Lytechinus pictus: one gene and its partners. The protein of the gene in region 4 purifies or fractionates together with the protein of the main gene of each other region. This does not show direct contact. Links are inferred from orthologs where the notes say so. Each region holds a gene or a part of one and is shown on either strand. Other genes may lie near its edges.

The links.
Region 1: the proteins of intraflagellar transport protein 57 homolog (region 4) and intraflagellar transport protein 20 homolog purify together in Homo sapiens (affinity purification with mass spectrometry; 3 studies listed by BioGRID and IntAct, counting the BioPlex papers as one, with this or other methods). This does not show direct contact. The link is inferred for Lytechinus pictus from reciprocal best matches to the Homo sapiens genes IFT57 and IFT20.
Region 2: the proteins of intraflagellar transport protein 57 homolog (region 4) and intraflagellar transport protein 22 homolog purify together in Homo sapiens (affinity purification with mass spectrometry; 3 studies listed by BioGRID and IntAct, counting the BioPlex papers as one, with this or other methods). This does not show direct contact. The link is inferred for Lytechinus pictus from reciprocal best matches to the Homo sapiens genes IFT57 and IFT22.
Region 3: the proteins of intraflagellar transport protein 57 homolog (region 4) and intraflagellar transport protein 46 homolog purify together in Homo sapiens (affinity purification with mass spectrometry; 3 studies listed by BioGRID and IntAct, counting the BioPlex papers as one, with this or other methods). This does not show direct contact. The link is inferred for Lytechinus pictus from reciprocal best matches to the Homo sapiens genes IFT57 and IFT46.

The regions. Positions count from the first base shown.
Region 1 is NC_087246.1:4,617,689-4,624,614, forward strand, and holds the start of intraflagellar transport protein 20 homolog, read right to left. Parts: upstream 3,006-6,926; 5' UTR 2,550-3,005; coding exon 2,423-2,549; intron 1-2,422. UniProt on the Homo sapiens protein: Part of intraflagellar transport (IFT) particles involved in ciliary process assembly. May play a role in the trafficking of ciliary membrane proteins from the Golgi complex to the cilium.
Region 2 is NC_087246.1:23,441,001-23,448,894, forward strand, and holds the start of intraflagellar transport protein 22 homolog, read left to right. Parts: upstream 1-4,891; 5' UTR 4,892-5,055; coding exon 5,056-5,091; intron 5,092-7,894. UniProt on the Homo sapiens protein: Small GTPase-like component of the intraflagellar transport (IFT) complex B.
Region 3 is NC_087252.1:34,530,748-34,537,601, forward strand, and holds the start of intraflagellar transport protein 46 homolog, read right to left. Parts: upstream 3,015-6,854; coding exon 2,973-3,014; intron 1-2,972. UniProt on the Homo sapiens protein: Forms part of a complex involved in intraflagellar transport (IFT), the bi-directional movement of particles required for the assembly, maintenance and functioning of primary cilia. May play a role in chondrocyte maturation and skeletogenesis.
Region 4 is NC_087252.1:13,083,940-13,091,217, reverse strand, and holds the start of intraflagellar transport protein 57 homolog, read left to right. Parts: upstream 1-4,262; 5' UTR 4,263-4,364; intron 4,365-6,859; 5' UTR 6,860-7,175; coding exon 7,176-7,274; intron 7,275-7,278. UniProt on the Homo sapiens protein: Required for the formation of cilia. Plays an indirect role in sonic hedgehog signaling, cilia being required for all activity of the hedgehog pathway.

The DNA of each region.
Region 1 (6,926 bases), on a different chromosome or scaffold from region 4:
TTGTGAGCATATATTAAAAAAAAAATCAAATTTAGGATGAGATATATGTGAATAACTTAATTGTAACCCTGAAGCCAACACAAAATTGGCATGAAATGCTTTAGATATACAACACTTTGAGGCATTAGAGTTTAAACTGCCCCCCCCCAAAAAAAAAAAATATATAGTTGATTTGAATAAGAGAAAAATAAAACAAGCATAACACATTAAAAAAAAAGTCATATCACTTATCACATCATCACTTTAGGGTCATTGACATGTGACTTATATGTAGTTCATTATGACCTCATTGAGCGTAATTGTGATCTATGCTGTGCATCGCATTACTTTCATTGTTGTACGCGTTGTATATTTTACGCATTCGCGCATGCGCACTAGACTGTTGATGGTCTTATACTCAATGGCAAATTTTGTACACGAGCCTATGGGATATTCATCGGATTTTGGTCACTGTTAGAGATACGCTCTGATACTGCACAGGCAATTGATGCAGACCAAAATAAGCGTTTATAATGTATGGCTAAAATGCTCTATTTAGATAATAATCTCTATTATGAAACATTCTAATTTTCTCATCACTGTCATGTAAAACAAAGTTTTATTCCTCCCTGAACATGTGGAATTACCATTGGTTTAACACTTTATGGTTCAGTCAAGTTGGACATTAATGTCAAATCTGTAAAAATACAAATATTGTACAATTCAAACAATTGAAAACAAAATAGTGAAAGAGGGACACTGTTGACTGTCTGAGGTTACATTTTAGTTGTAAATAATTACTATCATACAATATGACAATAATGAAATACATGTATTTTCCCTTTTCGTTCTTTCTTTCGTTTTTATTTTTGCTTCTTGGTTTCCCTTTTCTATCTTTCTTTCTTTATTTCTTTTTTTTTCCTTCTTTCTTTTTCATTCATTTTTTTTACCTTTTTCCTTTTTTCTATTCTTTCTCTCTCTTTCTTTCATTCTTTGGTCATCATTTTTGGTATTCCTTTCTTCTTTCTTTTTTTCTGTCTTCATTTTCTTCCTTCCCTTGATCTTTTTAATTTTTTTCTTTGTTTTCTTTCTGTTATTCATTTCTTCCATTTTTTTTTTTCCTTTTGGGGGTCTTTCTTTTTTTTCTGTTCATTTGTTTGCTCTTTCCTTCTTTCATTTTATTTTTGCTTTCTGAACCTTTTATGTCTTCTTTTTTACTTTTTCGTCCTTTCTTTTTATTCTCTCTTTCTTTCTTTCTTTATTTATTTTGCTTGTTCTATAGTTAGTACTTACTCTCTTTCTCTATTTTCTTTCTTTATTTTGTGCATGTGCCAAGAAAAGTCAGTCATTGCGTCTAAAATGCCTGTTTCGTGAAATGCGCGCCCAGGATCTGACATTCTCTTGACTTGAATAAACTGCCAGTGAATTTTGATTGGTAGAATCTAATTAGCATGACTAACATTCGACAGCCGTCTGCTTCAAGAAGTTTTTAAACATTTTTAATTTTTTTTATTTCTCCTCATACACAGATGGCTCACGAACGTGCACCCGCCATTAGGGAATTTGCAATGCAAAACCCCAACTGACAGGGATCTTTGTATTCTTTGATTTTTCACTTTATTCTAAATTGAATAATTACATAAAAAGAACTAGCCTAGTTCCACTTCCCGGTAAAGTTAATTAGGCCCTATTCCGTTTTAGCCTCTAGGCCTAGTCTAAACTTAGTCAAAGAAATAAGCTTAATTTAAACAAGGGGGAAAAAAGCAGTGGCTTACTTCGATTTCGGCTGTCTACCCCTGACATGCATGAATGAGCTCTAAATTGACTAAAATAGTAAAATAAGTAACGTTAAAACTTAAAGGTTTGGCTATATACCGCGCACACACGCAGCAGGTGCAGGCGCCCGGTCCCGGAGCGCCGCGGCGGCGCCGGAGCAGGGGCAGGCACCACAGAGCTAAGTCACCAGTAGAGGCGCTGGTCCAAAAATTGGGATTGTCCCAGAAAACAAGGATATCCTTATAAACCAAGACAAATTATGTCTTGATAAATTGAGACTGTCCTTGTTTATGGGGACGTTTTTTCTTCACTTCTCCCTACGGGACAAAGGCAGCAATTAGGGGAATTGAGAGTGCTAAAAATAGATTCAGTGACCTCAATTCCCCCCACTTCACCGTTTATTTATTATGACTTGCCGTCTTCCAATAATCTTGTTATGAAACCCGATATGTTTACATTGACTAGCACTCTTGATTGGTGTCGGCACTCAACAGGTGAATGAACTTTCCTAGATTTCTTGTGTGGAGAAATCCTTATAAACTGAGACAGTCCCTGTAAACGGGGACGATCCCAATTTTCTGACCAGCGCCTCTACTGGTCACGGGCGTCGAGCTGAGCCTGAGTGGTTCCATTCGATACTTCGATTGATTAAATTAAATTTACTCACTGTCCACAAAATCTTTACATTCTTCTTTCAATTCTGTCGTCTGGCTTTGAATTTCAGGTTCCAATACTCGTATTTTGTTTAAGTCATCAAAGTGCAAACCAGCATTTGCAAGAGCTTCGTCAGCCATGGTAACTGCGACTAGTAAATGGTAGGCACTTATGATCCAAGTTTGAAAGGAGACTCGTAAAATGACGTCAGTCTCGCCGATGAATATTCATTAGATCGTGGTCGTGCGTGTTCAATACACACTGCGTGCAGGCATGCAGATAGTTATATGCGAGGAACTTTGGCTCCAGAGACAAGTTGTCAAATAACGTGTGTGTGTACCATCGGCTGGTAGTATGCCATGCTGTCTAATACCCTTTTTACACAGGATTTTCTTAGCCCCGGACTATCGCTAACCCCGTACTATCCTTAACCCCGTACTATTTTTTTTCCTTTTTACACATGCCAAATTGTTATTGCTAACCCCGGATAAGGAATGCTTGCTTTTCACACACGAAACTCGCTAACCCCGGACTAGTGGTTTTTGTCGACCATTCGTAGTACAAGTACTTCACTCGTACCTTTTTACACACGCTACAATTTCCTTAACCCCGTACTATAGGTGGGGCCAAATTGCCATTTAGCCCCACCTATAGTACGGGGTTAAGCTTAGCCCACTTTCGTTTTACACTAGCGATCTTAACCCCGTACTATCGCTCTTAGCACCGCAATTGCTGGGATAACCCTGCTTTTTTGCAGGGCCAAATAGTCCCGTACTAAAGGTGGGGTTAGCCCACTTTGCAAAAATGCTGTGTAAAAAGAAAGTGGGCTAAGCTTAACCCCGTACTATAGGTGGGGCTAAATGGCAATTTAGCCCCACCTATAGTACGGGGTTAAGGAAATTTTAGCGTGTGTAAAAAGGGTATAAGACTTCAAACGCGTCGGAGAGAGTGCATGGCAATTCGGTAAAACGAAGTTTCCGATATAAAGAGATAATAAAATAACACTGTACAGTAGGCCCGGGGGGCCACTTATATTGACGAGTGGATACCATGCACGACCAAAAAAACACGTAAAAAGGATGTCTTTTTCAAGAGAGGGCACGTTACGTACGTAACGTGATAAGGGTGTCAAAAACACAAAAATATTGAACAAAGGGTATCTATTTCCAGTACGTTGAGAGGCAAATGTCAGATCAGGGGAGGCAGGAGTACAATCAGGTTTTTTTAAAGGGAAGAATAGTGTAGAATAAAAGGTATTATATATAGCAAATTGATCTAGGTGAGGGAAGCTTAAGTGAACAATGATGTTTTTAAAAAAAAGAATGAATATACCTTACCTGAATATTATGGTGAAGCCAATTTAAAAGGAGGTGAGACAAGTTTCAATGGAGGTTTTAAAAAAGAATAAACTGTATTATGGTGAAGCCAATTTAAAAGGAGGTGAGGCAAGTTTTAATGGAGGTTTTTAAAAAGAATAAACTGTACTACAAATTATGGTGAAGCCAATTTAAAAGGAGGTGAGGCAAGTTTTAATGGAGGTTTTTAAAAAGAATAAACAGTATTATGGTGAAGCCAATTTAAAAGGATGTGAGGCAAGTTTCAATGGAGGTTTTTAAAAAGAATAAACTGTATATGGTGAAGCCAATTTAAAAGGAGGTGAGGCAAGTTTCAATGGAGGTTTTTAAAACGAATAAACTGTATTATGGTGAAGCCAATTTAAAAGGAGGTGAGGCAAGTTTCAATGGAGGTTTTTAAAAAGAATAAACTGTATTATGGTGAAGCCAATTTAAAAGGAGGTGAGGCAAGTTTCAATGGAGGTTTTTAAAACGAATAAACTGTATATATGGTGAAGCCAATTTAAAAGGAGGTGAGGCAAGTTTCAATGGAGGTTTTTAAAAAGAATAAACTGTATTATGGTGAAGCCAGTTTAAAAGGAGGTGAGGCAAGTTTCAATGGAAGTTTTTAAAAAAGAATAAACTGTACTACAAATTTAAAAGGAGCTGGCGAGGCAAGTTTCAATTGAGGTTTTTAAAAAAGAATAAACTGTACTACAAATTATGGTGAAGCCAATTCAAAAGGAGGTGAGGCAAGTTTCAATGGAGGTTTTACAAAAAGAATAAACTGTACTACAAATTATGGTGAAGCCAATTTAAAAGGAGGTGAGGCAAGTTTCAATGGAGGTTTTTAAAAAAGAATAAACTGTACTACAAATTATGGTGAAGCCAATTCAAAAGGAGGTGAGGCTAGTTTCAATGGAGGTTTAAAAAAATAAACTGTATTATGGTGAAGCCAATTTAAAAGAAGGTGAGGCAAGTTTCAATTGAGGTTTTTTTAAAGAATAAACTGTACTACAAATTTGAAAGGAGGTGAGGCAAGTTTCAATGGAGGTTTTTAAAAAGAATACATGTATTACAAGTTATGGTGAAGCCAATTTAAAAGGAGGTGATCGAGGCAAGCCTCAATGGAGGTTTTTGAAAAGAATAAACTGTATTATGGTGAAGCCAATTTAAAAGGAGGTGAGGCAAGTTTCAATGGAGGTTTTAAAAAAAATAAACTGTACTACAAATTTAAAAGGAGGTGAGGCAAGTTTCAATGGAGGTTTATAAAAAAGAATAAACTGTACTATAAATTATGGTGAAGCCAATTCAAAAGGAGGTGAGGCAAGTTTCAATGGAGGGTTTAAAAAAAGAATAAACTGTACTACAAATTATGGTGAAGCCGATTTAAAAGGAGGTGAGGCAAGTTTCAATGGAGGTTTTTAAAAAGAATAAACTGTATTACAAGTTATGGTGAAGGCAATTTAAAAGGAGGCGAGGCAAGTCCGTTTTTAAAAAGAATAAACTACTACAAATTATGGTGAAGCCAATTTAAAAGGAGGTGAGGCAAGTTTTAATGGAGATTTTTTAAAAGAATAAACTGTACTAAATTTGAAAGGAGGTGAGGCAAGTTTCAATTGAGGTTTTTAAAAAGAATAAACTGTACTACAAATTTGAAAGGAGGTGAGGCAAGTTTCAATGGAGGTTTTTAAAAAGAATAAACTGTACTACAAATTATGGTGAAGCCAATTTAAAAGGAGGTGAGGCAAGCCTCAATGGAGGTTTAAAAAAAAGAATTAACTGTACTACAAATTATGGTGAAGCCAATTTAAAAGGAGGTGAGGCAAGCCTCAATGGAGGTTTTTAAAAAGAATAAACTGTATTATGGTGAAGCCAATTTAAAAGGAGGTGAGGCAAGTTTCAATGGAGGTTTTAAAAAATAAACTGTATTATGGTGAAGCCAATTTAAAAGGAGGTGAGGCAAGTTTCAATGGAGGTTTTAAAAAAAGAATTAACTGTACTACAAATTATGGTGAAGCCAATTTAAAAGGAGGTGAGGCAAGCCTCAATGGAGGTTTTTAAAAAGAATAAACTGTATTACGGTGAAGCCAATTTAAAAGGAGGTGAGGCAAGTTTCAATGGAGGTTTTAAAAAATAAACTGTATTATGGTGAAGCCAATTTAAAAGGAGGTGAGGCAAGTTTCAATTGAGGTTTTTTAAAAGAATAAACTGTACTACAAATTTGAAAGGAGGTGAGGCAAGTTTCAATGGAGGTTTTTAAAAAGAATAAACTGTACTACAAATTTAAAAGGAGGCGAGGCAAGTTTCAATGGAGGTTTTTAAAAAATAATAAACTGTACTACAAATTATGGTGAAGCCAATTTAAAAGGAGGTGAGGCAAGTTTCAATGGAGGTTTTAAAAAAAGAATAAACTGTCGGGAGATAAAATTAGCCACACAAGCTGGAATAAGCCTCCTGCAACCATTTCAAGAAGGCAGAACATAATCTTGTATATAGTTGTTAAACAATCCATATTCACATTTTGTATGGTGAAGATTAGCTTTTTCTTGAAAGAGCTGAACTTTTAAGTAAAGGTTGCAAAACTATGCTTCTACCCCTTTTGTCATTGGTGTGATGTAGTTAAATGTTCAACTTGTAATGAACTTATTGAAACAAGGTATAACTACACAATCACAGAGTAGACCTAATACAAATCAAATATTTTTTTCACAAGAGATACTGTTATGGAGTAATTTAGTACTGTTTTACAACAATTACATTAAAGGACAAGTCCACCCCAACAAAAAGTTGATTTGAATAAAAAGAGAAAAAATCAACAAGCATAACACTGAAAATTTCATCAAAATCGGATGTAAAATAAGAAAGTTATGACATTTTTAAGTTTTGCTTAATTAAAAAAAACAGTTATATGCACATCCTGGTCTGTATGCACCTGAGGAGACTGATGACGTCATCCTCTCACTATTTCTTTTGTATTTTATTATAGGAAATATGAAATATTCTAATTTTCTCCTCAATGTCAAGTGATACAACGATTAATTCCTCCCTGAACATGTGGAATTAGCTTTGTTTAATACTATATGGTTCAGTCAAGTTGGTCCTTATTGTCAAATGTATAGAAAATGAAATATTGTATAATTCAAACAGTAAAAAACAAACGAAATAGTGAGTGATTGACAT
Region 2 (7,894 bases), on a different chromosome or scaffold from region 4:
ATATTCGTGATTCTTGGCAGCACTGCAAAGTAAAGTATTTTGAAATTGTAGACAATTTTTTTTTAATGGTCCATGAAATAATTCATTTTTTTAGCTTCATGACATAACGCATCGGTTCTGCAGTTAAAGTGAAGAAGATGAGAAAAATCAGCTCATACCCGCAGCTAATCAATCACCTGTTCATCTATTGTGACGTCAGCGCGCAGAGTGTAAACTATGCGCAGACCATAATGCGCACAAACATAACTGTGGAACGTCCTTAATTGGTTTTAATCTATTTGGATTTTGACATTAAATTTTTCCGAAGTTACAATAGGTTTCACTTTTCAATCCACGACCGTGGTAATTAGTGACGAATGTGACAAATGAAGGATTTCTTAACTGGGAAGAAAGGGGACGAGGAAGTCACAACAAGCCTAATTCAAGTTAGCACAAAATGACATAATCATCTACAAAAGAAATCTAGCTGATATCAGTTTTGGGGGGAGGCAATCCAGGGGTGCCCCAATTAACCTGTCACTGGGAAGTAAGCATAATTCCCTTGCTAACATAATGTATGCCTTCCGATTTTTTTTTTTGCTTTATTTTGTGATTAGTTGAATGCAAACGATATAATTGGTCAGGAAAGATACAAATTTATGAGAATCACAGTTTGAAGGTTATTTGTATGTTTGTCTAGCTTTCATAAACATTTAATGAGCAATGAAAATTTCGCAAAATTATCATAATTGATAATTTGGAGCGTTGTGGCCCAGTGGATTAGTCTTCAGACTTTGAAACAGAGGGTCGTGGGTTCGAATCCCAGCCATGGCGTAATTTCCTTCGGCAAGAAACTGATCCACAATGTGCTGCACTCAACCCAGGTGAGGTAAATGGGTACCGGTAGGAAGTAATTCCTTAAAAAGCTGTGTGCGCTATGAACGCCTAGCTTAGCCGGGTAATAATATAGGAGCGCCTTGAGCACCTAACAAGGTGGATATGTGCGCAATATAAATACCCTATATTATTATTATTATTATAATTATTTCCATCCGTTCATGTCTTTACTGTATATTGTTAATTCTGCCCCCATTGGCCAGCCATTGAGTCAGAGGGCTGGGGACAAAGTCCTCTGGATCATGGGATCACCACAGAGAGGAGCAAGCCGTATACCTCTTACGATTTTTTAAAAATAATTTAAGAAGGAAAAATGATAAAACTGAGATAAATTTTTAGTTAGAAAAAAGTGCAGAAATAGGACGATAGGATTAAAAGGGAATCGGATAGGAAGGAGGAAGATGAATCAAAATAGGGGGCGTGGCAGGGGTGCACATCATGTTTTTTTTTTTTTTATCAAACTCGTTGAACTGTACCCCTATTTTACATCTGCCAAAAAAATATGTCTAGGCTTATTATGTCGCCTAAATACCATGGCCTTTCCCAATATGACCATGGCTGTTGCTTAAAGGGATGATCCGGGCTGAAAATGTTTATATCTAAATAAATATAGTAAAATTCACAAAGCAAAATGCTGAAAATTTCATCAAAATCGGATAACAAAAATAATAACAAAGTTATTGAATTCTAAAGTTTATCAATATTTGTGAAAACAGTTATATGCACATCGACATGAATATTCATTAGGTGGGCTGATGATGTCACATCCCCACTTTCCTTTTTTCTGTTTTTATCACATGAACTCATAAATGTTTTTTTTTTTTTTTCATACATGTGTAAATGATGTGGATCAGTTATGATGAAATACACTGTATATTGCAGCAATAAATAACTAATGAACTAAATCAGTTGTAAATCCAATTGTTTTAGTTCTTGGTAGATAAATGTTGAATAAACCTGATTTCATGTAATAAAATACAAAAGAACAAATGGAGATATGACATCATCAGCTCACCTAATGAATTTTCAAAAAGACATGCCTAGAACTATGTTTCACCGGAATAATGCAAATCTTTAAAATTAAAAAAACTTCGTTATTTGTTATGCGATTTCGATCAAATTTTCAGCATTTTGCTTTTTGAATTTTAGTCTATTCATTTAGATATAATTATCTCCAGCCTGGACCATCCCTTTAAAATAATAGGCTATCTTCGCCCAAGGTTTTCAATCGGATGTGTTTACAACACTGCCCAAGGTTCTGACTCTGCAGTCTAAATTTCATGTCAATTTTCCAGGTCATTCAACATTTCGCCGGTCTAAACTGAACAATATCATCAAAACGCCATGAGAAGGGACGTTTTGAATACGGAGCGAGCGATGGAACCCGCAAAATGTTATTGATCGATTCAGGACATTGATATGAGGTTTACCATACAAATGTAATTTTCTTAAAGATGTGTTTATTATTTTCTCTCATAATCCAACACATGTTCATATACGAATCACCCAACAAAATCAAACAAATTATTTTTGCCACTGGCTTTACGCAAAACAAAATGAGTCATGCATTAAAAGGTAGCAAAGAATGCTGATGACTAAAAAAAACCTTCGTGCAGTGTCTTGATTGCCAGATATTTTGTCACGTACTCGATTTATTGTATATTTGCTTTGTTGATTTGGAAAAGTTGCAGAAATCATAAATGAAATTATGAAAATGAAATATTGCAGTCATCCAAAGCTGCCGTCCATGATAAATTATTTTCATTATATTGAAATTATCAACACTGCAACACCACATACTTTTTAAGCCCCCCCCCCCACAACACCACAAATCACAACAATAAACAAATAACCGTCTCCTCTTTTTTTTTTACTCTAGAATATTCCAAATGCGTTCTTATACAACTATTAAAGGGTTACAAGCATAACTTCGAATCCCCCAGCCTCCCATATTTAGATGGTCAATCTAATTTATGTTTGTTTCAGCTTCTTAATTAGATCTCCCTTTGGGTTCGAGGAACCACTTACTCCCCTATGCATGAGCATTTGGCAGGGATCAGAGCTAACAGAATCATTTTCTCTCTAACGGGTATTTGGAAGGAAAGCCAGTAAAATTACCCCCTAAATACATTATGTTTGTGGAAGACTTTAAACTTTCCTCGTTAACTTTTTATCTGTAAAGAAAAAAATCAAAGAGACCACCCTTTCAATGAATCTTTAGGATTTTCCCTTCGAAATAATGAGCGTGCGTGACGAGGTCCAGATTACTTAATAATATTATCAAAATGATATATAATCAATCAGTGGCGTACCTAGGATTTTCCAAAGGGGGTCAAATTTCGTTCGCCAAAAAAATTGACAAGCAAAAAAAAAAAAAAAGGTCTTTAAGTTCAAAGGAGGGGGCCACTTGTGGCTCGTCAGGGATCAGTTTTGACTCGTCAGGGGGGACAGGGATACGTCCTTTGCATGAGTTGTGACTCGTCAGGGGGGGGGGGCAGTCTGCCCCCTTAGGTATACGCTAGTGTAATCAATAGTTATTTCCGTTGTGTATTTTTATCATAAAATATACATCTACGGTATGTCTTTCACATACTTAGTACTGTTGTTAATTATGATCATGAAAAAAATATAAAGAGTAGAGCTTATCCATTGTTTCCCCAAATTAAATTTTACGTTAGGTAGGCCTACATGTATATCTGGCATAATTGAGCGAAATAAGGCCAGTGACGATATTCCCCCAATCAAATTTTACGTTAGGTAGGCCTATGTATATCTGACATAAAAATTATTGAGCGAAATAAGGCCAGTGACGATATTCGGCCCCCAATTCAATTTTACGTTAGGTAGGCCTACATGTATGTCTGGCATAATAAATTGAGCGAAATAAGGCCAGTGACGATATTAATATCTATTATATATCTTTAACACAAGTCAACCCTTTTGGCAATAAAAATTGTTATTTTCAGCATAATGAGATAGTAAATTAAGGACGTTCCACAGTTATGTTTGTGCGCATTATGATCTGCGCATAGTTTACACCATAGACAAATAAATACGGTTTACACTCTGCGCGCTGACGTCACAATGGATGAACAGGTGATTAATTAGCTGCGGGTATGTGCTGATTTTTCTCATCTTCTGCACTTTAACTGCAGATCCGATGCGTTATTTCATGAAGCTAAAAATTGGAATTATTCCATGGACCATTCAAAAAAAGATTCTCTACAATTTCAAAATACTTTACTCTGCAGTGCTGCCAAGAATCACGAATATTACCCCGAGTTTGAATAAATGGTAGAGTGGCTTTGATTTTTTCTTCACATAGATACTAAGCATTCGGCGCATTTTTGGTGTTTTAAAAAGCACATTTGCTCTAATAAAAATACTGATAGTTTAAAAACAAGCACATATGAACCCCTATTTTTTAATGTTTGTTCCTCTTAGGTAAACCGTCCTCTACAACTCTACAAATTTTGGTGAAAATGACATGGATTTTGAATAAAGTGCAGCATTTATTGTACTTTTGTAGTTTGTTACTGAAATTTCACATTTTTTAGATTGGGATTTTGTTATCTTTTACGCCATTTTTAAGAACTGACAGTGCTGTTAAACTTAAAATTGCAAACAAATAGCATTATAAATATATTCTCCATTCTAACGATACAATTATTAACTCTCTTGCGAAATTTGATGACTTTTTCATGTATTTTGACTGAGTAATAGAGGTTTAAACTCATTGTAGTAATCTTAGGGCGGTCTAAAAATGCCAAATTCTTTTGGATGCGCAATTCTTAAGAACATCAATTTGGGTGAACTTTGAAGTTCTATAGCAAAAAATCAAGCACATGGACCTATGTTAATTTTTGCATATTTCGAATATTAAGGTTCTAAAGTATCTATGTGCAAAGTTTGGTGAAAATGATATGGATTTCACTTTAACTGTACTGTGGAACGTCCTTAAACAAACTATTTTCAGCAGCCATCGAATCTGCATCTATCTTACAAGGACGCCCTCTACGTACAAATTACAGAGTAGCATTTTTCTGCAGCTATATAGCTAGCAGTCGACTTTATCAATTAATTTAAGTAATAATAGTTAGCGGTGCTCGTTGTTGTGAATTCCGGTACTAAGTAGCCGGACCATTAAGGAGCGCAGTCTGAATTACTTCTGGTATCAAGATGAAAGCAAAGATACTGATGATTGGGCCAACAGAGGTATGAATTGCTGGTTATTTGGCAGTCAGGCGCGTACGAGTACCGGCGCGGCGGTACCGGTACCATTAACGGAGCTGCGCACCCGCTCTGCAGGGTCAGCTCCGGGTACCGTCTCCGTAGCTACCGTTCATTTGCGGCCTCTTGCCTGAGGCTGAGAAGTGGGATGAAGAGGCAGTGACAATTCTTTATTCATGGAATTAGGCAGTGGGCGTAGGCTTTGTAGGTACTTTTTAGGCTTAGATATAGGCTAGGTTAGACAATGGTGATGTACCGGTACTTGCGCCAATAATGACATGATGTAGCTGGCAGCCGTCTGTTTCGAGGAGTTTCTTATTTTTAACATAGGCCCTATTAATTTTTTTTTAATTTCTCGTACACAGACGTCTCGCGATCGTGCAGCTGCCATTACTCATTAGGGGGTTAACAATGCAAAATCCTCCTGACGGGGCTCATTGATTTTTGTCTTTGTGGTCTTTATTTCATAAACAGAACGCCATGGGTTAATAATAATAAGGGCACAACTATAATGTAAAACTAAAAGAAATAAATAAACTAGACAACTTTGAGGTTACGTGTAACTGTCTTTAACCCTTTCCACGCGTACTTCGCACCAATGCACACTCAGTGCCGTGCGAACTTCGCATTTCACACTCAACAAACAATGCATTGTTTCCCTCCCTGAAAATAATTCAGTACAGATGCGCACAAAGAGTTAATAACCGTGGCCAAGAGACCAACACAAGGTGGTGCGCTTACAACTTAGCGCATGTAACATTGAATCATCATTATAATTGTAAAACAACATACTGGCGGAACTGTACCAAAATAAAGATTTTTATTCCTTTTTTGCCTGAAATGCACCAAAACGGGAAAATAAACTGAAAAGGAAAAAAACAGTGACTTTCATGCTTACATATATTTTTCTATAATGAATATTAACATACTTAAGGCACAGGAAATACTACCGGTATTTCTTTACATGATGAATGCGTAGCTTTACGACTCCTAATGTACATCAGGCGGCAGCTGCAGCAAAATAAAGATGTGTTTTGAAAACACAGCAGGACTTTTTGTAAGTGAGTTTGTGGTATTTTCTTCTTGCTTAAGGATCTTTAGAATATTTACCACAAATTAGTGACAGATCATTTGTTCAAATATTAAAATTGGCATAATTAGGTCCCCCATCATACATCCAATGTTGAAATTAAAAATATTGTCTTAAAGAAAAATAAAATATTGAGGAATGAAATATTCCTGTAGAATGAAGAATTATTTAATGAGACTAATTTAATTGACTAATATATACTGTCTTTGGAGCGTTGTGGCCCAGTGGATTAGTCTTCTGACTTTGAAACAGGGGGACGTTGGTTCAAATCCCAGCCATGGCGTAGTTTCCTTCAGCAAAAAATTTATCCACATTGTGCTGCACTCAACCCAGGTAAGTTGAATGGGTACCAGGCAGGACTAATTCCTTGAATGCACCGAGTGCTGAAAGGCAGCTCGCGCTAAAGCCGGGGAAATAATAATAAAAAATGCGCCTCGGAATAGATTATTTCTAGATAGATGGCACTATATAAATGCCTATTATTATTATGATGCAACATTGACATCGAACAAAAGTTGAGAGTGTAACGTGCAAGCGCCATTTGAATTCAATAAATGGACAAAATGTAACTCATCATACCTCAGCACACCTCATTGGCTTAGTGAGATGAGAGTGCTATAAAGCAGCATTTCTCATTGGATACTAGTATTTCTTCAAAAATTGTTGCATGTTTCCAAGATAAAATTAAGATTTATGGTTCTCAGAATACCAATTCAAGGGGATTTTAAGGATATTTTGTCTCACTGATTTTAACAGGAATAAAATATTTTATTTTTATTAAAGATAAAGTAGATCTCAGAAATGAGAATACCACACCTGGTCCTATCATGGGATCTGGATTGTGTAACATTTGTATTTGGCTCCAGTGTGTCTTGAAGATTGATGTTAAGGGAATAGATTTAGACTGGCAAATTAGAAACAATTATTTGCATGATAATCAGATATTGTAGTGGCAATATTTGCCTCCCCTGACAAAGTTATAAAAGTAAAAGGGTAAGATATAATGTGATAGAAATAATGAATTGGGAAATGGAGGGGGCAGGGAAATTGTAAGAGAAAACAAGGGAGAAAAAAAGATACCCCAAAAGAAGAGAAAAAGAACAGAAAAAAAATTGTGGAGTGATAAAAAGTCTTTGAAAAAGTCTCCTCCATCCAAAATATGAGAATGACAATTCAGAACTAAGCTCTGCTAGAAGGGAGAGCATGGCAATGGTAATCCGCCAATGTAATGCCTAAAGGCAAGGATGAGAAAAATAAAAGGAGGAAGAAAAGGGAAGAAGGGGAAGGGAAGAATTTCAATTAGCAAAATTTTAGGTCAATGTATCAAAATTAAATTTATGCTTGTGCTTTTAGCTTGCATTCCATTTTTTAATGAGTACTTTTCATGAGGGGATCACAGTGAATGTCTTGTTTTCAAGTATAAAAAGTATTTTAGCTCACGCTTTCATTAGTTTGCTATACTTGTATGCATCATGTTTATGATTACAAAATAGCGCGTGAAATGTCCCATATTCTGGTCCAAATTATGAAACTAAAATCAGCCAGATGTGCTTTATTCACATTATTTCTTCAATGTATGTAATCATGTGTACGATTTTCTATAAATAGTCTTAAACTCTCTCCAGGTTGGCCTATTTCTTTTGTGGCATGTAACATATTTTTCAAAAAGATCTTAAAATGTTTTGTTGTCAGAGTAGC
Region 3 (6,854 bases), about 21 Mb from region 4:
CCCCCTGACGAGCTTGAAGACCTTTTTTTTTGTCAATTTTTTTCTGGTACGAAATCCTTTATTTGTGATTGACTTTTTTATTTTATTTTTTTTCTGGTACGAAATCCTTTGTCTGTGATTGAGGACCTTATTTATTTTTTTTTTTTTGCTTGTCAAATTTTTTGGCGGACGGTTTTGCCCCCCCTGTGGAAAATCCTAGGTACGGCACTGATTGCGTAGACACGTTCGTAGCACTCGCACATATTGCGAGGTTAGTTAGTCCGGGTTATAATTGAGCAAGGTGCCACTTGGAGAAGGAGAAATTTTCATATAATGCTTCTAGACCAGTTTTTTACGCTGAATATGAATATATGAGGTAAACAGGCTGTATCCTGAAAATTAACCCGTGAGGGCGCTTTTTTCAAAATGGCCGCCAAATTTTCATAAAATTTGAATATTCGTACATAGATTTTGACATAAGCATCCAATTGCCATGAAGTTAGTGTCATATGAAAGCCAATTAAATTTCCTTCAATTTGATACTATTTATAGGGGATAAGCAGGTCATTTAACCGAGATTTCAAGTAGAAAACTTCATTTTTTGTATTTTTTCCCAAAAATTGAAAAGTTTGCAAATACATGATTTTACATAATTCTAAGAAAAATGAATTAATTACCTTGAAATGTTCCTGAAAACTGTACTATATTATTATCACATGGATGAAATTTAAACTCTGTATCATTTTTCTAAGCAAATTTATAAGGTATCAAACTTGAATTCTTCAATATCAGAAATGTTGCTTTTTGTATGCATTTCCATAGACTAATACGTATAACATGTATAATACATGTATGTATAATGTATAGTTAAAACTTAAATGCAATTATCTCCGCTAGTTAATGTAGGCTTTTCTCTATCAGCTACATAGAAGAAAGTGTTGGCACATCGAAGCCTAACACATTCTCATGGGGTGGGGGTGTCGAAGTCCCCCCCCCCCCACCCCGTGGCCATATCATGTTGTTGTATTTATTGGAAAATCACTATTTTCTGAAGCACCCATTGAGGCAAAAGGCAATTCTTTTTATACAGTACAACCACTTTAATTACTTTAAAACCACTTGGAGAGGAAAAGAGTAGGCTTTGTTCTCCCAGCTACATCAAAAGAAGTAGAACATCGAAGCCTACCTCTCTCGGTGGGGAGGGGGGGGGTATGGAGGTCACCCCTCCCCCTCTTGCTAATTGCTAATTCATTTGGAAATTCACCATTTTGGACCCAACATTGAGGCAAAAAAAGCGTTTGTGCATTATAATACACCCCATTTTATTGATTTGAAAGAGTAGAGTTCGTTCTACCAGCTACATAAATAAGCGCACTCACATCGAACCCTAGCCCTCTCAGGTGCTGTCAAAGTCACCCCCCCCCCTCCTCTATATCATGTATATTGCCTATTTATTGAAAATTACACCATTTTAAATCACCAATAAGGCAAAAGGGCATTTCTACTATACAGTGCGTATAGAAAAAAACGGGACAGATTTGAAAAGTCTATAAAATGTTTGTTTCAAATTATGATGTCTATATTTTGGTGTTAATAGGTGCTCTAAGGTCTTATCTTTCAAATGCTATTAAAAAAATTTAGTTTCGTTCATGCTTGAGCGAACACGGAATGTTTTTGTCTGGGGTTTAAAAGGAGGCTTGCACCAAAATGGCATAAAATTATAAATATGATGATCGGACTTCTTGCTAATTAGCAGACTTCCTCTTAACCTTTTCACTATCTTTGCCATGATTTTCAAATCATGCGGTCAAAATTCATTTTCAGATCTATTTATTTGCTTGAATTATTCTGTTGTTTCTTTTTAATATGCTCTCTGTTAGCTTTGAATATTCCTTCTTCAAGCTAAAACAATTTTGTTTCAATCGAATTATGGGAGAGCATGGATTTTTTTATTCAAATCCTTTCATTGAGTGCTACAAAGGTTATGGTGCCTTTTGAACAGTGCCACACAGATGGGCGGGCGCTCGGGATGTCCCCCCCCCCCCTCAAAAAAAATCATGACCAAGAAAAAGAGTGGACAGGAAATAAAAGGAAAGATAGAAAGTAAAATGTGTTATTTTCTAAATATTTTGTCAAAATCTATCAAAAAATTTGATATTGTAATAAAAAAGTGGGAATATTTGCGTGCTCACTTCGCTCGCTCACAACTTTTTAATACATTTTACCCGATCTTCCATATCTAGCTCCTTCAAAATTGACTCAATACATACAAGGGATTCATGTCATTGAAAGACATGAATCGCTTCCTGTGTTTACTGTCAAGCAAATAAACTTGGTCAAGGAATTAATGACCCCTTGAAAAAAAGATTCATGTCTTTTAAAGGTACATAACATAGTTTGTTTCACATAATAAAAGGATTTGAATAATCACAAGTTTTCCCAATTAATAATTCAAATCTTCTTGCTTGGGTTGACAAAAAATCTTCTTTTCTCAGTTACTTATGAAGGAAAATTAAAAGGTAAGAGAAGTTTAAATGAAAAAAACAAAATATCAATTAAATGAATAAATTTGTAAATGAAATTTGACAGCATAATTCGAAAATTGTGGCACAGATAATGAAAAGGACAAGAGGAAGTCTCCCGATTAGCAAGAAGTCTGATCATCTGATCATCATATTATTAATATTCTGCAATTCTGGCGCAAGCCTCTTTTTGAACCCCCAACAAAAACGTCCTGCGTTCGCTCAAGCATGAACAAAATTTATCTTTTTTAATTGCATTTCAAAGATAAGACCTTAGCGCATCTATTAACACCAAAATATAGACATCATTATTTGAAACAAAATTTTTATAGACTTTTCAAATCTGTCCCGTTTTTTTATACGCACTGTATGGTACAGCCAATTTTAATTTCTTGCAATGACTTGGATAGGAAAGAGTAGACTTTGCTCTATCAGCTATATATTAACAAGTGCTGGCAAATAAAAGCCTACCCCCTCCGGGATGCAGTTGAAATCACCCCATCCCTTTTGCATTATTGCATATTTATTGAAAAAAAAATCACCGTTTTGAAACCCCCATTGAGGCAAAAAGTCATTTCTGATTAGAACTCTGCCTTTTTTACTACCTTGAAACCACTTGGAGAGGAAACAATCATGGCAATAGGCTTTGCTCTATCATCCACAGACAAAGATTTGCTGGCAAATAAGAGCCTACTCCCTTCAGGGGACTGTCGAAATTACCCCCCCCCCCCTCTTGAAATTCACCATTTTGGAGCCCCCATTGAGGCAAAAAGGCGGTTCTGATATATAGTTCTTCCACCTTTACTGCCTTGAAACCACTTAGGGAGGAAAGAATAGGTTTTGCGTTATCAGCCACATATAAAGAAGATAAAGAAGTGCTGGCAAATAAAAGCCTACCCCCTCCGGGAGGCTGTTGAAATCACCCCATCCCTTTTGAATTATTGCCTATTTATTGAAAAAAATTCACCGTTTTGAAACCCCCATTGAGGCAAAAAGTCATTTATGATTACAACTCTGCCTTTTTTACTACCTTGAAACCACTTGGAGAGGAAACAATCATGGCAATAGGCTTTGCTCTATCAGCTACATACAAATATGTGCTGGCAAATACATGTAAAAGCCTACTCCCTTCAGGGGACTGTCGAAATTACCCCCCCCCCTCTTGAAATTCACCATTTTGGAGCCCCCATTGAGGCAAAAGGGTATTTCTGATATATAGTTCTGCATTTTTTCACCCTTGAAACCACTTGGAGGGAAAAGAATAAAGGCTTTGCTTTAAAAGCTACGTATAAAGCATATCCCCATCAGAGGACTGTTGAAATCACCCCACCCCCTTTTCATTATTGCTTATTTATTGAAAATTCACCATTTTGGTGCCCCCATTGAGACAAAAAGGCGGTTCTGATATATAGTTCTGCCACTATTACCACCTTGAAAGAGTAGACTTTCCTCTATCAGCTATATAAAGAAGTGGCTCTACTATATACCAGAAACACCTTTTTGCCTCAATGGGGGCTCGAAAATTGCGAGTTTTTCAATGAATTGGCAAAAATCGTAAAAAAGGTGGGGTTACAGCTACATGTATAGTCCCTGAAGTGGGTCAGGCGTCGATACGGCAGCAATTCGACATATATAGCTAAAAGAGGAGAACCTACTCTTTGCTCTCCAAATGGTTTCAAGAAAATGAAATCGGTTTTTTTTATACAGCAGAAGTGCATACTACCTCAATGGGGGCTCAAAATTGTGAATTTTCAAATAATTAGGCAATAATGCAAAAGGGGTGGAATGGTTTGACAGCCGCCCAGATGGGTAAGCTTCAATGTGCCAACACTTCTTTATATGTAGCTGATAGAGCAAAGCATATTCTGTCCACCTACTCTTTCAAGGCAGTAAAAGTGGCAGAACTACATACATGTATCAGAGATTCTTTTTTACCTCAATGGGGGCTCAAAAATTGTGAATTTTCCAATAAATAGGCAATAATGCAAAGGGGAGAGGGGGTGACTTTGACAGCCCCCAGAAGGGGGTAAGCTTTTATTTGCCAACACATCTCTATAGCTGATAGAGCAAAGCCTATTCATTCCTCTCTAAGCGGTTTAAAGGCAATAAAAGTGGCAGAACTATATATCAGAGACGCCTTTTTGCTTTAATGGGGGCTCAACAATAGTGAATTTTCAACAAGTAGCCAAATACCGAAAATTAGTGAGGTAACTTTTACAGCCTGAAGGAGATAGGCTTCGATTTGCCAACACTTCTTTATATGGAGCTAATAAGGCAAAGCCTACTCTTTCCTCTCCAAGTCATTGCAAGTAAATAGAATTTGCTGTACTCTATAGTAGAAACGCCCTTTTGCTTTAATAGGTGATCCAAAATTGTGAATGTCTAATAGATAGTCAAATACCGAAAATTGGTAAGGTAAATTCTACAGCCCGCTGAACATTCTGAAGGGGAGAGGCTTCGATTTGCCAACACTTCTTTATAGCTGATAGAGCAAAGTCTATTATAATACTCTTTCTTCTCCAAGTCATTGCAAGAAAATAAAATTGGCTGTACTATATAGTAGAAACGCGCTTTTGCCTCAATGGGTGATCCAAAATGGTGAAATATCCAATAAAATAGGCAATATACATGATATAGAGGGCGGGGGGAGGGGGTTGACTTAGACAGCCCCTGAGAGGGCTAGGGTTCGACGTGCCAGCGCTTATATATATGTAGCTGATAAACTCTACCTTATTCTACTCTTTCCTCTCTAAGTGGTTTCAAATCAATAAAACGGGGTGTACAACAAAGCACAAACGCTTTTTGGCCTGAATGTTGGGTCCAAAATTGTAAATTTTCAAATAAATTGGCAATATTAAGCAAAAGTTCCCCCCCCCCCCCCCCACCCCGAGAGGGGTAGGCTTCGATGTGCTACTTCTTTAGATGTATAGCTGGTAGAACAAGCCTATTCTTTCCTCTCCAAGTGGTTTCAAAGCAATCAAAGTGGCTGTACTGTATAGCAGAAATGCCTGTTTTTGCCTCCATGGGTGCTCAAAAAATATGTAATTTTTTTAACAAATAGGCAATATACAACAACATGATATAGCAAAGGGGTGACTTCGACACCCCCACCCCCATGAGAGGGTCAGGCCTTGATGTGCCAACATTTTTTTTTATGTAGCTGATACAGAAAAGCCTACTCTTAATTCTCCACGTGGTACAAGCGGAGATAATTGCATTTAATTTTTAACTACCGGTAAACATTATACATACATGCATTATACATGTTATACGTATTAGTCTATGGAAATGCATACAAAAAGCAACATTTATGATATTGCAGAATTCAAGTTTGATACCTTACAAATTTGCTTAGAAAAATGATACAAAGTTGAAATTTCATCCACGTGATAATAATATATTTTAAAAGTCTTCAGGAACATTTCAAGGTAATTGATTCATTTTTCTTAGAATTATGTAAAATCATGTATTTGCAAAATTTTCAATTTTTGGGAAAAAATACAAAAAATGCAGTTTTCTACTTAAAATCTCGGCTAAATGACCTACTTATCCCCTATAAATAGTACCAAATTGTAGGAAATTTAATTGGCTTTCATATGACACTAACTTCATGGCAATTGGATGCTTATGTAAAAATCTATGTACGAATATTCAAATTTTATGAAAATCTGGCGGCCATTTTGAAAAAAGCGCCCTCACAGGTTAATTTTCAGGATACAGCCTGTTTACCTCATATATTCATATTCAGCGTAAAAAACTGGTCTAGAAGCATTATATGAAAATTTCTCCTTCTCCAAGTGGCACCTTGCTCAATTATAACCCGGACTAAGTATAGTATACTAACCTCGCAATACGTGCGAGTGCGTTAGTCCTACAACATCGTTGGAGTAAACTAAACTTAACAGACTGTTTCATTCAAAGTAGACCAAAAGCTTTGGTCTCTGTTAGTGTTATGTTGGTTGTTCCACTGAACTCCGTCTCCGGCGTTGGCTCCAGCCTCCTAGAGATGATCGCTACTTGACGAATCTCAGCCTCCGCAACCGCTTTCACAGTGCACGCCGCCTCAACAATGACTTCGCTGCAGCAACTGGAGTGATTGTTTCCACTCAAACAATCCGTAACCGACTTCACAGAGCCAAAATGCATGCCAGACGGCCAGCTCAGTGTGTCCCACTCACCCCTGCTCACAGAAGAATTCGTCTCAACTGGGCCCGGGAGCATGTCAGATGGACCAGACAGCAATGGCGTAGAGTTCTGTTCACAGATGAGAGCAGATTTTCCCTTGACCACAATGATGGACGTTCGAGAGTCTGGAGGCGACCAGGAGAGAGATTTGCAGACCCCTGTATTGCA
Region 4 (7,278 bases):
TACGAAAATAATAGGTACCTGACAATCAAATTTTGCGAGCAGCAGCGCGAGCAGAAAATGTTGATATTCATACCATACAATGACATTTTTATAGAGCTTTAAAAAAATGTAAATCAAACAAAATAATGAAAGTTCAATTTCCGAGCTGAAATATGTTTTGTACATTGACTCGATATTTAAAGCTCCATATTGAGCAAGATATTAATGATAATTAATGCAAGAGAGAAAAGTTTATATAGTGACATAAGATATATGTATTTTATTTTCCAAGTCTTATTTTATTTACTCGTCTTCATCCTCTTCCTTTTTTTTCCCATTCTTGTCCCTCTTTTTTTCTTTATTTCCCCCTTTTTTTAAATATTTTTTTGCTCCATAATAAGGGGGGGGGGTAGGGGCCCCTCGGCCCCCTGGATCCGCCTATGACTTAAAAAAGTGGGTAAATTTCCATAAAACCACATTAACCAATATTTATATATATTTATATGGTTTATATTGAGTGACTGTTCAACGTTGCTCCTATTATTTTATATATTTTGGCTATAAACACCCTAATGAAAAGAAAGAAAGACAGACAGACAGACAGAAAAAAGGAAACCACCCGCAAACACCAAAGCAGGGACGTCGTCACACAAGGGGGGGGGGGGGGAAGTCATGGCCCTGGGAAGCGGGTGTGCTGGTGGTGAAGCACTCTTGGGGGTGCTGGGTGTGCTATCTTCCATGAGCAGCACCCTTGGAAATCCGATAGGCATAACCTTATAATGGCAGAAATGTAATAAAAATGCATTTTGTAGGAAAGCCACCCCTTTTAATTTCTTTCTTTCTTTCTTTTTTTGCTTGTCACATTTCTCTGGACCGAAACCACCCACATTTCGTAATGAAAACCCTGTGTGTTTTCTTTTGCTTGTCAAATTCACTTCAGCACCCCCACTAAAAATCGTCCCCAGGGCCCTGTGGCAAGTGGCGGTGAACACTCCATATGATTGTCAAAAATGGTAGATGGGTTAATGGGGAAAATAGTTTCTCGGTAAACTTTAAAAAATAATAAAAAACAACAAGTGCACAACAGCATTTCCATTTCTTTGAATGCAGGATAAAAGAGAAAATGTCGATTCTATAGGGCCTTGTAGTGTTGCGGCTTGCGCCCTCTTGAGGCAGAAACAATATCATGCCCATATCACCGAAACGACCGAAACCATAATCCCTATAATAATAATAGACCTTGAACAGTTGAGAAGATAGTAACTCTTGATAGAGTCAGGGGCGGATCCAGCTTTCGCCAATATAGGGAGAGGGGGGGGGGCGAAATTTTTGTTCACCCATATTTTCCCCGATCGGCCGCTCAAAGTTGATTGTTTTGTTTTGGTATAATGACTTAAAAACTTGACATTTTAAGCTCCATATCAGTCTATTGAGCAAGATATGTATCTAATCGAACATATAATGCGAGCGCGAAGCGCGAGCGAAAATTTCATATAATGATATGAAAGATTTTTTTTCCATGTCTTTCCCTCACTTGTCTTCATGGTCTTCCTCTTCTTTTTTTCCTCCCCTCTTTTTCTTTCATTTTCTTTCTTCCCCTCTCTTTTCCCTTTTTCTTTTTTCTTTGCTCCGCCAATAGGGGGGGGGGGGCGGGCCCCTCGGGCCTCCTGGATCCGCCTATGTATCACAGTAACAAAATATATAAAACGCTGGTTACTATATGAACCTTACAGTAATTGTTTAAACAGTTTTAACAAGTGTTTAAATCTTAAGCAACAAAATTTAATTTTCAATATCTAATTTTCAATAAATTAAAATGTTTAAACGGTTAAACAGATACTGTAAGGTTCATGTAGCAAACAGCGTTGTATGAAATCTTAAACAGTGTTTTACTGTGAGTGTCAACTACCATGACAACAGTGAAAATTCTGCTTCGTGATTCTAATGAAATCTGACATTCCAGCAAGAATTGCTATCTTATCAAATTTTATGAAATGGTCTCAGACGAGTTAAGGACAACTCCACCCCAACTAAAAGTTGAGTTAAATAAAAATAGAAGAATCCAACAAGCATAACACTGAAAATTTCAGCAAAATCGGATGTAAATAAGGAAATTATGACATTTGAAATTTCGACTAATTTCACAAAACAAACCTACTTGCCGTTTTGGATGCAAATGAGGAGACTGATAACATCACTCTCTCATCGTATTTCTTTTGTATGTAATGAGGCCTATATGAATTATGAATATTTTAATTATTTCATTATATAGCATTTCATTATGACTCAGTTAAGTTGGTCCTTAATGGAAAATTGGTGAAAATTGAAATATCATATAATTCAAACAATAAAAAAACTAAAGAAATAGTGATTGATGGAGTACACGGGATGGACATCATCGACTCTCTCATTTTGCATGTCCCTGAGTTCTGCATGATTATGACTGTTTTGTGAAAAATAAGCAAAATTTTAAAATGTAATAATTCCCTTTTTTATATCCGATGTTGATGAAATTTTCAGCGTTATGCTTGTTTTTTTCTCTATTGAATCAACGTTTTTCTGGGGTTTTTAGGCGTAATAGACCATAGTTTCCTTATTGGGAAGCCAGTAATTCAGTAAAACAGAACGTATTAATTTATTAAACAGATAGTAGGCCTATCGTCAATGCTATGAGAGATCCTTACTGGTAGTCCTCATGCTTAAGTTTGTTGTATTGAAATTGTGTATAACATGGAAAAAGTATAGTTTTCACCATATATTTTTTTCTAATGAATATTATCCTCTATTAATTGTTTATTATCATTACTTTTATTAGATCCATTTCACTCTAAACCGAAAAAAAGCTATTTTTTGTAAATTTAGGTAATATCACATTTTAACTCTATACAAATAATGGTTTAAAAGTACTAATTTTGGGGAAAAACAAATTGCCTCCCCCCTTAAACATATACGAATAGACACAAAAAGCAGTTCAGAAAAAGACCACCAAATAAAGAAGTTGTGGCCAAAACGTCTGTGACTTTTTTTTTTTTGGGGGGGGGGGGGGGGCGTGGATTGGCGGCCATTTTGGATTTTGACCGGCACCTTTTTCTTTTGGACCCGAGACAAAAAAAATATTGCCATCATGTGTTGAGATACATAACAACGAATAAAAAAAATATTAAGATTACAAAAAAGGGTAGTTTTGACGCATACATGTATAGCCCCCCCCCACTTCTTATTTCATTAATGAATTTCATTCTAAAATGTATGACAAAACTGAATAATAACCCTCACATAAAAAAAATATGACGGGTGTAATACATGATCTCCATCCAGGGAAAATGCAGGGCCCTGGGAACGATTTTGGGGTGGGGGTGCTGGAGCAATTTTTGACGAGTAAAAAAAAAAGGGGTGGGGGAGCTATAGGTTAAAAAAAAAAAAATTGGCATTTTTAGTACATTTCTCAAAATTTGCAGACCTAACGAAATTCGAAAGGGGTGCTGCCTATGACACGCAGCATCCCCGCTTCCCAGGGCCAGTAATCTTCCTTGGCTGCGCCCGGGGGGGGGGGGGGGGGTCATTGATTGTGGCACAGCTAGAAACAGATAGAAACACATTGAAAACAGAGACGAAACAAAGAGGCATTAAAAGAATGATTAATAAAATAAATACAGCTAAAAATTTAAATTCATGAATTTTCAATCCATATTTTTGTTTGATTGTTTTTTTAAATGCCTTTTTGGTGGGTGACGCATAAACTTTCCCTATATCCGTTATTATCACGTCTCCAGTACACACTTTCATATTGCTCACAGCCAACAAGCTATACCTTGTTTTTCTTCTTTTGGTTCAATCTTTTCGGATGCCTTAATTGGTAGTCATGATGGTACATATAGAGATATATTATAGTATCATCATGGAGGTCGAAAGATGGTATCATAGAGATACTCCACAGTATATATTACTAGTATCTCAATGATTATATAGTTGGCGACAATAGTCAAATATGACTAATCGCCACTCAAACCAACATAAGAAGAAGATGTGATGGTATAGTCTCATAAAACAGATACTTTTAAGTGCATTATTTCAAATACTTTATATTCTGGCAAATTGTAATACCATGAAAGTGTAACATAATACTTAATAACAATAAATAATAACATAAAATATAACTTGATCATTTTCTACCCGAAAAGTGAGATATTTCCCAAGTAATAATTGGTGTGATTATTAGTGAAAACAAAAACGACTGCACTGTATATCATCGCATCTTCACCACCTAGGCTTGCGCTTCGGTCAAAGGTCAAATATTTCCCTGACGATATGGACGCGGTGAAGTTATTTTTGTGAAATGTTCGATATATCGGTACCATTAAACACTTTGAGACACTGTTGTTGAGGTAAGATATACCCTAAATGTATATATTTTTTCAAAGTCTACCAGCCTCTTTTTCACAGCGTATGTTTCTACTAAAGTGTAAGGGATTTGAATATGGAATTGAGCTGCAATGCAAAGCCAAAGCAGCTGCACTAGTTGCAGCGAGCGCAGCGCCAGTGGCAGTGCCGCTCCGGTAGGGGCAGCCGCCGGCCGGGCGGGTAACCAAATAAGCTGCCGCTCCGAGCTCCGCCGGTAAGCGGCGACGGAGGAGCTCTATGTCTTGCCTTCTTGGACCCGTTCCTGCACTGCAGACACCGACTTTAGACTTACCGTGTTTTCCGGAATATAAACCGCACCTTTTTTAGTCGGGGAATCATCTATGGGGGTTGCGGTTTATACACGAACACAGACTGACAGAGTCTCTCAGACTAGTCAGACTCAGAAACTTGTCTTGATATCATATTGATAAGATAGAATTAGAACTTGATTGAGTTGATGAAATACTCAAAATCAAATAGATCTAACGTTTTACTAGATCTAACTATTGTTCGACTAAATACAATGAATGTGCGACATGTTTGAAACATGGACTTGTTAAAAGAATGAAATAAAACTCACTTTTAGTTTTACACCATCCCATCTCTGTCTTTCTCTTGTCAATGTCATCATTTAATGATTTGTTGTGGACGTGACTAGCACTAGCTAGCACTGTCACTTGTCAGTAGAGGCGCATGGCCAATATGGGAGACTCTCTCCAATATGGAAGACAATCTCCCATATTGGAGACTTGCTTTGCAAAAGAACAAAAGAAACAACACCAACAAAAGCAGATTTTTTTTCCACCCAAAATTTTGCCTCACTGAGGTCAGAAGCCCATTTGTTTTGTGTGTGGATGACAACAAAAATCCTTATCAAAACAAAAGTAGATGGTGAATTTTCAAAGTAGACGTTGAAAAGGGGTAATTTTTCATGAGGAATCTGCTCATCACATTTTTATTTGCTGCCAAGCTAATCCTTTTGCAGCAAATGTAAGCAAAGGAAATTGGTCTCCCAAACTGGAGACTCTCTGAAATTGGATACCCAAATTTACAAAAGTCTCTAATATTGGAAATAATCTCTCTCATGGGAGACAGTCTCCCATATTGGCCGTGTTCGGTGAGCGCTCCTCTCTGGCGGCTCTGCAGCGCCTGCTGGCACGGCTGGCCGCAGCTAGCGGCGTACAGGGAGACTGAAGCTTCGCGCAGTTAGAATTAGGCCTAGAATCTAGGTCTATTTTTAAAAAAGACAAAAAAAAAAATTATTTTGAGTTTTTTTACAATGTTAGTTTTTCATTATCAATCACTCACTGTCCACTGACTCAAGTCAAGACAGTCAAGCTCAGTGAGACAGATGAAACCATGCTCATGCAGTGTTTCAATTGACTGAGTCAAGGTCAAAAAATGGATCACTTCGTCTTCGTACATGCATTCCATTGACATGTGCAGGGGTCTGCTTCATTAAAAGAGATTCATAAAATGTTTTTGCTGTCATGTGCTCAATGGCCAGTAAATGTCAAGGATTCCGTGGATGTTACAATTAAAATCACTGACTAGACAGCAAAGTTAACTTCAATTGTAACTTCCATGCAATACTAAATAGGGCCTTGGTTGGCTTCAAAATGAAAGACGTTTGGCCAGACAGTACTGTTAGTCTTTTCTTGTCTTTCTGTTAATGCCTGCAATCATTGTTTTGATTATTACTTTACTTTAAGTCCATGATGCTGTAGGCTTGAGTTGAGTGCCTGTTCATCGATCGTAGTATCTCCTCTGGTGGTAGTACAGTATCCATGGTATTAAAACAAAATATATAGATATACCGATACTTAACACGAGTATCTCCTCTGGTGGTAGTACAGTATCCATGGTATTAAAACAAAATATATAGATATACCAGTACTTAACACGAGAAAGGACTGTCAGAAGTGTGTACATGTATGCTAACAAACGTGGAATAGCATATGAATGTAAAGATTGACTTTACCTGAATTTTGCTGGCTAAGTATTATAAAGGCTCTGTCAAAATTCTGTGAAATGATTAGATGTGACAGAACTGTCAAGAGTCAACACTACAGTTTTCCTCCGTTCTAACTTGTGCTACTTAATCCGTATTCTCTAATTCGGACTAATTTTTCTGTTCAATAATTTTTTTTCTTCAAATTGTCACTCCTGACCCTTGCATTTTATTTGCGTGTGTCAGGTAAAATTTGTTTACGCACATGTAAGATAGATAATGAATATTGGTGGCACATATATTATGAAACTATGCAGTATGCCTAGCAATTGAGTCTGGGAACTCTTGTTGGAATGCTCCCCAAGGAGCGGAGAAGGTGCATACATTGTATGCGGGCATGCAAGGATGCGATGACCGGGGTAATAATATATCTGTAAAGCGCTTAGAAACATCGTTCCGATGTGTTAAAAGCTATATAAATGCAGAATATTATTATTTAACTATCAATTATATCTCTTTCTGTTGCAGCATCCTACTCTGGGAGAAGAGCAATGTCATAGGAATCCACTGTGTCGTCCATTATCATCAACAGACATTTTTTTCATATGAAGTGGCATCACAACAGCTTGTAAGCTGAAAGATACCCAGTTGTATGATCTTCATACAATTTTTTGAAATTTTTTTCTTTACAATTACCATCAAATTTTAACTGAAAGTTTGATTCTGAGAGGTTACACTGAACAGCCTCTATAAGCAATTTTTGGACACTGGGGATACTGGTGTAAGAAGTCAGTGTCCATACAAGAACCCAGGGATATAGTATCCCAAGAGACTCTTAATCAAGATGGGGGAAGAGAAAGGAAGAGATGACAGCAGTGAGATCGGGCCAGGCCAGATGTATCAGCATTACATCATCATGGAAGACCTACTTGATAAACTAAAGGTAC